2 linked regions of the Canis lupus familiaris genome follow. The protein of the gene in region 2 purifies or fractionates together with the protein of the main gene of each other region. This does not show direct contact. Links are inferred from orthologs where the notes say so. Each region holds a gene or a part of one and is shown on either strand. Other genes may lie near its edges.

Region 1 (4,495 bases), on a different chromosome or scaffold from region 2:
ATTCTTAACATGAAAGAAGTTGGAGACATTGAATTTGTCCAAATTGGTGGGGTCCTGCAGCAAAGAGAACACGTGCAGCACAGTGAGCCGGCAGCAGAGAATGGGGTGTCGAGCTGGGAATGGAGGGCAGCAGGGGCCAGGAGAGGGCTCCGCCTAGGCAAGGGCACGAGCAGGGGCAGGGTGGGGACAGTGGCACAAATGGCTGGTCTGCACGCCAAACTCTGTCCCCTGCCCCTCAGCACATGGCTGACGAGCATCCTTTGCTGCTAGGCAGCCACAGGATGGACAGACCTCATCATGGGGATGTAGGGAGACACAGGGCATCCACCTTAGGCCTCCGACACACCCTCCCAAGCTCCCTCCAGCCCAGCTGCCAGACACAGAGCCTGCAGTCCTCAGGCTCTGGTGACTGCAAGCAACCCCATGGGAGTGAGTGTGCATGGACCTCTGACGAGGAGGGGACAAGCCATGGACAGGAATGGCCCACGAAGGCCACCCCTAGAGTTTCTAAGTCCAGGCCTTTCAGGAACCCACTCAGGTCTGGCACCTCAAGGCACGTCCTATGCTCAACCCTGGGGTAGAGCACACACCAGCCCATCCTCTCCCACTTGGATTCGGAGATGGCTTTCATGGAAGACATGAGTGGCCGTGACAGAGCAAGGACAGGCATTAGGAGAGGTGTGAGAACCAGAGAAGAGCAGCCGTGTGAAGACCTAGACTGATAGCAGGGGCACTGGAGCTGGGGGTGCTCCCAGGAGCTGGGAAACCAAAACTAGGCAGGCCCCAGAGCCTGGGCGAGAAGGAGGGGTTGGCAGGGGGCACCCCAGTCCTCCCTGGGAACAGCAGTGGCAAGGGGACGCCCACCTGGAGGGTGATGATATCCTGCCGAGAGAAGGGCTCGTCTGTCAGCAGGTCTCGGAAGTTCTTGGCCTTGATATTTAGCTGCTCCACTGCCTGCAGCCAGGAGGGAGCACGCTGTTATGGTGCCTGCCCCACCCTGGCACCAGCAGCCTGGAGCCCACCCAGGGGCTGGCGCCATTCCAGGGGTGCAGAAAAGGATGGCACGACCACGTACTCTTTGGGGGCTCACAGCAGTGGCCCCACCATGGAGGACGGAGCTTGCCGAGCCCCAGACACTCGAATCAGCCATCTCAGCAAAGCTCACTGAAGGACACTCCAATGATACACATCTGACATCAGCAAACAGGCTCAACAACGCTGGCCGTGCATCTCTACCAAGTCCCTCCAACCAAATCTGTGCACACTTTGGGCAAAAGTGACCCCCAGGCCCCACAGGGCAGCGTTGGAGATCCAGACCCTGCCAACAGCCAGGGACAGGTGGGAAAACAGCTCAGAGAGGGCTTCCCTGCAACACAGCACCCACGCGACTGCTGCTGTACTCTCTGCTGGCCCAGAGCAGCAGGATGCGGGTGGAAATCGGGGCCGCCCACCGCCAGGCGTGCCCACCAGCCTGCATCTGCTCCTCCTGGGGACTCCAGCAGGAGGCGGCAGAGGGGGGGCTCAGCGCTCTCCTGGACCTGCCATCAGAGCACAGGTTCCCTCCCAGGGCCTGGTCAGCGAAGATGAAGACTGCAGGGCCAACCCCCCGAGTATAAAACAACCTCCCAGGTTTCAGGTCAGGAGGCCACAGGAAGGGCTCTAGCACGTAAGCTCCACGGGGACAGGCTGTGCCCACGGCGCCCGGTGCACCCTCAGCACCTGGGTGCTGAGGCATATACCTGGGGCATATACCTGAAGAACCTATATGTGCCGCAGCTCCTGAGAACCCACCTCATAGGTGTACACGTTGCCGGTGGTCCTGATGGCTACGATGTGGGTGTTGTTGGTGAATACGGTGAACAGCACTGGGCAGTGGTACTTTCCTAGAAAGAAGACACACGCCAAGAGACCAGAGAAAGGAGACATTGTGTCAGCATGCCCTGAACCTCCGAAGACCCAGAGGGACAGCCAGCTGCTCAAGCCTCCTGTTCCAATCCCACTGAGAAACTCCTACTTGTCCCGCAAAACCCAAACCCTACGTGGTCTTCCTTGGAGTCGTCTGCTCCATCAGCCCCCAACACGCTGCTAGCAACCACCACCCCTCCTCCATCTCAGATCTTGCCACATTCCCCAACCTCCTATACGCCCCCCCATTCCCTCGCTGTGTCATTGCAACAAACTCCCACTGCCCTCCCTGCCCGTGCCCGCCGACTCCACACCAGGCAGCCAGAAAGCCCATTCAAGTAAGTCTTAACAAACTATGAAAAAAGAGCAGCAGAGTATCTACAGATTAAGAGACTTAGGCGATACCAACCACACAAAACTGTGTGGATTTTTTAAAAATCTTGATTTGAAAACTATAAAAAAAAAGATCATGAAAGTATTCCAGATTCTGACCACTGGCTGGGTTACTTGATGACACTAAGGAATTCCTGTTAACTTTTTAGATGGAACGGCGGTACTATATTTAAAAAAGTATTTTAAATCCTTATCTGTTAGAGATATACACTGAAGTACTTAAGCATGAAACGACACGTTTCTGATCATCTGCTTCAAAATTACCTAAGCAGGTGCCACAGGGGAGCACAGGTAAAATCACACAGTCCTAAGTGGATGGGAACTGAAGCTGGGTGATGGCTACAGGGCAGGGGATCACCGTACTAAGTCTCTCTACTTTCATGCATCTGAAGTTTTCAATTAAAAACAAAAAAAGGGAGTTGCCTGGGTGGCTCAGTCAGTTAAGCGCTTGACTCTCGATTTCGGCTCAGGTCATGATCTCAGGGTCCTGGAATGGAGCCCCTCATCGGGCTCCATGCTCCGCGTGGAGTATACTTGGGGATTCTCTCTCCTATCCCTCTGCCCCTTCTCCTCCTCACAAGCAAGCACACACCCATGCTCTCGCTCTCTAATAAATAAGTACATCTTCTAATTTTTTTTTTTTTTATGATAGTCAGAGAGAGAGAGAGAGAGAGAAAGGCAAAGACACAGGCAGAGGGAGAAGCAGGCTCCATGCACCAGGAGCCCGACGTGGGATTCGATCCCGGGTCTCCAGGATCACACCCCGGGCCAAAGGCAGGCGCCAAACCACTGCGCCACCCAGGGATCCCACATCTTCTAAAATAACAATAAGGCAAAAGGGGCTCCTGGGTGACTCAGTCAGTTAAGCGTCCAACTCTTGATCTCAACTCAGGTCTTAATCATAGGGTTAGGAATGTGAGCCCTGCAGGGGGCCCCACGCTGGGTGTGGAGCCTACTTAAAACAAAACAAAAAAGGTAAAAAAGGTGCTTGCTGGTCAAAATTATTACTATTTTTTTGGTCAAAATTATTTAAAAAAAGAAAATAACACAGGTGAATAGTCAGATCTCATGTCTCCTCTCTGGCCAGCATCTGAGAGACCCGTAGTTGCCTGGCCCCTGCACAACTAACTGCTCTGCACCGTCCCCAACTCAGACTCCTCCAACCACAACCCCTTGCTTCCACTCTCACACTGTTTCAGCAACACAGGCCTCCTTAGGACCTTTGCAGTGGGATGCTTTCCCCCCACATCTCACGCCTCCTCCCTCATCGGATTCCCACTCAAACCCTGTCAGCGTGTCTTGCTAGGACTCTCTCCTCCCCTGCTCCTGAAATCCAGTTGCTGGCAGAGGCAGCATCTGACACACTATGGTCAACTGTTTTCCAGTTTCCTCCCTCACCATAATGCAAGCTTCCTTTCACTCCAGGAAATGACCTGTTTTGCTCTCTGCACATGAGAAACAGTAAGTATGTGCTGAATGAGAGACACACTGTGGGCCTGAGTTGACTGATCTCAGAGAAGGTCCATGGGGCTTGGCTACCTACGTGGAGCTCCTCAACCTCCAGGGACTGTCCACAAAGCACTGTGCTTCTGGTCTGTCAAGGCCATTCTCTCATTTACAGTGAGCTGGCACCCACTGTGGGCCAGGCTCTGGGGTGACACAGGAGTGTCAGGCCCCAGCTTCAGGTGCCTCAGCACCTTCCCGGAATGCACACACAAGCAAGTGCAGACAGCCTCAACCTGGCATCTGCACAGGCTGAGGGAACTGTGCCAGGCCTCCAAAGAGCCAAGAGCAAGGTCGGTGCCCGTGGGGGTCATCTCAGCTCTGGCATCTGACAAATAAAAAGGCCAGAGGGTGCCAGGGGCTAGAAAGCAGGACCCCTGGGTGAAGGTGGGGCTTCACAACCAGAGGTGAGTGAGGAGAAGCCCACCCAGAGAACTGTTCAGCAAATCCATCACACCACCGCACCCACCTGCCCTGGGCCTCAGCCTGAGCAGCTCCTGCCCTTGGCAATGAGAGGACCAGGACTTCAGCCAGAGTCCATGCCCACAGGGCTCAGCTGTATGCAGCTGTGAGCAGCCCTCATGGCCCCACTGCCCTTCTGGGACCAAAACTCAACACTTCATCCTCCACCCTACTCCCAGCTTTAAACTACCTGGACCTTTAAGGAAAAATTATGTTAACTATATATATATAT
Region 2 (4,457 bases):
TCGTAAATTTCCTGCAAGCTTTTTATTTTGGTGAAATGTTACCATTCATTCACTCAACTTAGTGTCTTCCCTCATCCCTCACATTTATTAGATCGTCGAGTTCTGTTGATTTTACAACCTAAATATTTCTTGAATCTACTCCCTCCTCTCCACGTCCACTGTCGTCAACGATTAAAAGAGAGAATGAGTTCTAGCCTGGACTTAGCATCCTGGTATCTCTGAATTTGAATCTACCCTCCACACTCTATTTATCTTTCTAACACACAGTGTGACCCTATCAGCTCCCTAATCAAAAATCTATGTTCTCCATCACCTTCCAGGTAAAATCCAGACTATTTAGCAATGAGGTAGTTCACCTTTCCCACTCTGGCTTATGTCTGTTTTTCCTGCCACACCTGCCAATGATATCTTGTGGTTCCCTTTTACACATCACGTTTGTTTTCATTTCTGTTGGATTTACACCATTGGGCTTTCTTGTTCCTTAAGTTACTAGGACTTTAGTCCCTTCTCCAACTGGTGAACTCTAACTTATCTTTCAAGGCTCTGATCAAAAATCTGTTGAGAGGGCAGCCCGGGTGGCTCAGCGGTTTAACGCCGCCTTCAGCCCAGGGTGTGATCCTGGAGACCCAGGATCGAGTCCCACATCAGGCTCCCGGCATGGAGCCTGCTTCTCCCTCTGCCTGTGTCTCTGCCTCTCTCTTTCTCTGTGTCTCATGAATAAATAAACAAAGCCTTAAAAAAAAAAAAAAAAAAAAAAAAAAAACCCTGTTGGGAGGCTTCTCCTTCTCCCTCAGTCCTATCACAGGATTCCTGGCCTAGATGCCACATACATACATACCACCCCTTCATCACCTGGGTGCCCAGCATCCGGTTAGTAGACAAGCGCCCTCTTTTACCGTTAATATGAATTCTGCTTACTCCTCTTAGAACGTCTCTCCCTGTCCTAAACATTTTTGTTCTCTTTTCCTCACTCTTCTAAAGAAGATGGTGATGCTACGGAGAGACGCTGAAAGGGTGGCTCGGAAGCAGCGTGGGCACAGAGCGTTCAGACAACTTGCCTAGGGGCGGACAGCTGGAAGGGAGCTTGGATGTGGACCCACACCTGCCGGGCCCAAGGCCTGTGCCCTTAGGGCTGCGACACGGCCCCACAAATCCCCAAGTAAAGACACACAGTGTCAAAGCGCGGGGGAGTTCCGCGGCTGGCGCTTCCAAGGGACCAGATCAGGGGCACGGGAACGTTAACGGACCCGCCCCGGGCCACGGGCGCCCTCCGCGCAGGAGTGACAACGAGGACGACGGGCCCACGGTGCTTCCTGCGGCTCCAGGCTCTCGGCGGAACGTGTGCCCGGGGCGGGCCGCGGCAGCCGGCCAACCCGGGTCCTGACCGCCGCTCCAACCGCCCCGCAGGCTCACATTTTCAGGGTGCCCTTGGGCCCCAAGTTGGTGCGCAGGACATCCTGCAGCCCTCGGGCGGCGCAGATATTGACGGCCAAGGCCGCCTGGGCCCGCGCCACCTCAGCCTTGGAGTTGATCGCCTGGACCGCAGCCATCGCACCACCCGGCGCGCCACCCGCCAGGTAGCGGCAGCCTCAGCCCGGATCCCGAGCGGAAGCCCGTGCCGGAGCCTCAGCCAATCCTCGCCGGGAGCGGAAGTGACGTCGCCAGGCCTCGCCCGCACGGAAGCCGCAATCGCTTCGGGTCGGGGCGCCAAGATGGCGTCCTCCGCCTCCGCTCGCGCTCCCGCGGGGAAGCGAGTTGTGAATCAGGACGAACTGCGGCGGTTGATGAAGGAGAAGCAGCGTCTCAGCACCAACCGGAAACGGATAGAATCTCCATTTGCGAAGTACAACCGTTTGGGGCAGCTGAGTTGCGCCCTGTGTAATACGCCGGTGAAGAGCGAGCTCCTGTGGCAGACCCACGTTCTGGGAAAGCAGCACCGGGAGAAAGTGGCCGAGCTGAAAGGCGCGAGGGAAGCCACCCAGGGACCGTCCTCCAGCGCAGCGCCTCAGTCAGCCAAGAGGAAGGTGCCGGACGCCGATGGCCAAGATGCCAAAAGACTCAAGGCCTCCCCGCTGCCTCAGGTGCAACCCTCCACATCCGCTTTGCCCACCAACTTTGACAAAGCAGGGAAGGAATCCACCAGAGCGACCCTCAGTAAGGCTTCGGGACTCGGTTTACTCCCTGATTATGAGGATGAGGAGGAGGAGGAGGAGGAGGAAGAGGAAGAGGGAGGAGGAGGGAAAGGAGGGGACTCGAGCAAGCCGCCGCCCGACGCACAGGGCAAGGACCACTCGCTTTCCTCCCCGAGGGAGGCAACAAGTAGTATGCTGCCAAGCGGTTTCTCGGATACAAATCCCCCCAAGGCCCCCTTAATTCCCCATTCAGGGTCAATTGAAAAAGCAGAAATACACGAAAAAGTAGTGGAAAGGAGAGAAAACACAGCGGAAGCATTACCAGAAGGCTTTTTTGACGACCCTGAGATAGATGCAAGGGTACGAAAGGTTGACGCCCCAAAGGATCAAATGGACAAAGAGTGGGACGAATTTCAGAAGGCCATGAGACAAGTCAATACCATTTCCGAAGCCATAGTTGCTGAAGAGGATGAGGAGGGACGGTTGGACCGGCAAATTGGGGAGATCGATGAGCAGATAGAATGTTACCGTCGGGTGGAAAAGCTTCGGAATCGCCAGGATGAAATAAAAAATAAGCTTAAGGAGGTTCTGACTATAAAGGAACTGCAGAAAAAGGAAGAGGAGAATATTGACAGCGATGATGAGGGAGAACTACAAGATCTGCTGTCACAGGACTGGAGGGTAAAAGGGGCTTTGTTATAGGGTTTCAAGACCCAAGATTTTTACACCCTCTACAATGGTACGAAAAGTGCTGTTTCTGGGTATGATTACTGGTTCCTTCGTGCGTGGAGATTTGGTGACCTAACTGGGTTGTTGACATACAATGAGCCTGTGAAGATAGCACTTTTGAAAATTGGTGTAAAATATTTTTGAGGTGAGGTTGTTTTTGCAATTTTTGAGCTATTGTATACTAAAATGTCAACTTTTTTCACACGTTAAGTGAATAATTTTGCGTTGTCAAATCTGTAAGCTGTAAATATTGTACCTCGTTAAATATATATTTACTTAAGTAATTCTGTTTTGAAATTTATAAATAAATAGAAGCCAGGCTAACAGACAAGCTTTTAGATAAAAACCAAGTGTGGCATTTGGGATATATGTGTTTTTTCTTTTCTGATCCCCTAAATCAACTCAACTTCCTGCAGCAGGAGGGTTTTGTAGAAAGGTGGGGAAGAGGGTTTGTTTTTTGCTTTTAAGAATACTATTTATAAACACTATAAGTCATTCAGGGCAAATCAGTTCTCTGAGTATTGTTTCTGTTTCAAAAACATGCACTACGAGAACATGGGAAAATATATGACCAAACCTCCTTAACCCAATTGTTTCTCTTGATTAAACCAATGATTCTTGGATGTGATGTAGGTGCACATGAAGATCACCTGCCAAGCTATTGAAAAGGTGCCTATGAAGTACCTTGGAGCTTTTAAAAAATTCGTGTGCCCAGAACCTACCATTAAATATTCAGTAACTCTGTGGAGTGGGGCCCAGGTATCTGTATTAGTTCTGAAAGCATCCCAGGTTGTTCTAGTATATGCCAAAGTAGAAGGGTCATGTTTAGGTCGCCCTAAATCCAGAACCCATCTATATGTTTTCACGCTTTGTTTTTTTAAATACCGCTTTCCATAAGTTTATCATCTACTGTATAAAAGAAATACCACCTTTTAGGTTTCATCCAGTCTTAAATTTATTACATTTCATAGTTAAATAAGGGTTCAGAGTTGCTGTCCATTGTAGGGAGGATAAGTTTTTTCTCAAGGAGTAACAATAAGCTTGTTCCAGTCACTCACGAACTGTTGAAATCACTCCTTTTCCCTTTGGCAATAGAGATATTCAAGCGAAAAAGGAATTAGCAGTGTTCCAGAGGTAGAAATGCATATGGCATACTCAAATGAAAGTGTGTAGTAATGATGATAATAACTAAAACATAGCCTTTACCTTGGTTCTAAGTGGTTCTAGGTGTTTTACATAAACCAAATCTAGTTGCTCTAAAGCTCAGTTGTTGGGGGCCAGGGTGGCTCAGTCGATTAAGCATCTGCCTTCAGCTCAGATCATGATCCTGGGGTCCTGGGATCAAGCCCCACGTCGGGCTCCTTGCTTAGTGGGGAGCCTGTTTCTCCCACTCCCCCTGCTTGTGCTCTTTCTGTCAAATAAAATCTTTAAAAAAAAAGTTTAAAGCTCAGGTTTTATGAATACCAAGAGTTAAGGTATGAAAAAGCCTCACTTGGATGCTAGGTGAAGGAATTATTCCTGTCAGCAGTGTAGGAAAAATAGAAGTTTTTGAGCAAAAAATATTTGCAAAAACAATTACGGAAGATGATTTTAGTT

The links. Proteins that work in one complex are often made in the same cells at the same time.
Region 1: the proteins of ZNF830 (region 2) and PPIL2 purify together in Homo sapiens (co-immunoprecipitation; 4 studies listed by BioGRID and IntAct, counting the BioPlex papers as one, with this or other methods). This does not show direct contact. The link is inferred for Canis lupus familiaris from reciprocal best matches to the Homo sapiens genes ZNF830 and PPIL2.

Annotation. Positions count from the first base shown.
Region 1 is NC_049247.1:31,117,747-31,122,241, reverse strand, and holds part of PPIL2 (RING-type E3 ubiquitin-protein ligase PPIL2), read right to left. Parts: intron 1,884-4,495; coding exon 1,792-1,883; intron 955-1,791; coding exon 865-954; intron 55-864; coding exon 1-54. UniProt on the Homo sapiens protein: Has a ubiquitin-protein ligase activity acting as an E3 ubiquitin protein ligase or as an ubiquitin-ubiquitin ligase promoting elongation of ubiquitin chains on substrates.
Region 2 is NC_049230.1:38,349,535-38,353,991, reverse strand, and holds ZNF830 (zinc finger protein 830), read left to right. Parts: upstream 1-1,665; 5' UTR 1,666-1,712; coding exon 1,713-2,834; 3' UTR 2,835-3,362; downstream 3,363-4,457. Other genes in the region: CCT6B (T-complex protein 1 subunit zeta-2), read right to left, coding at 1,414-1,550.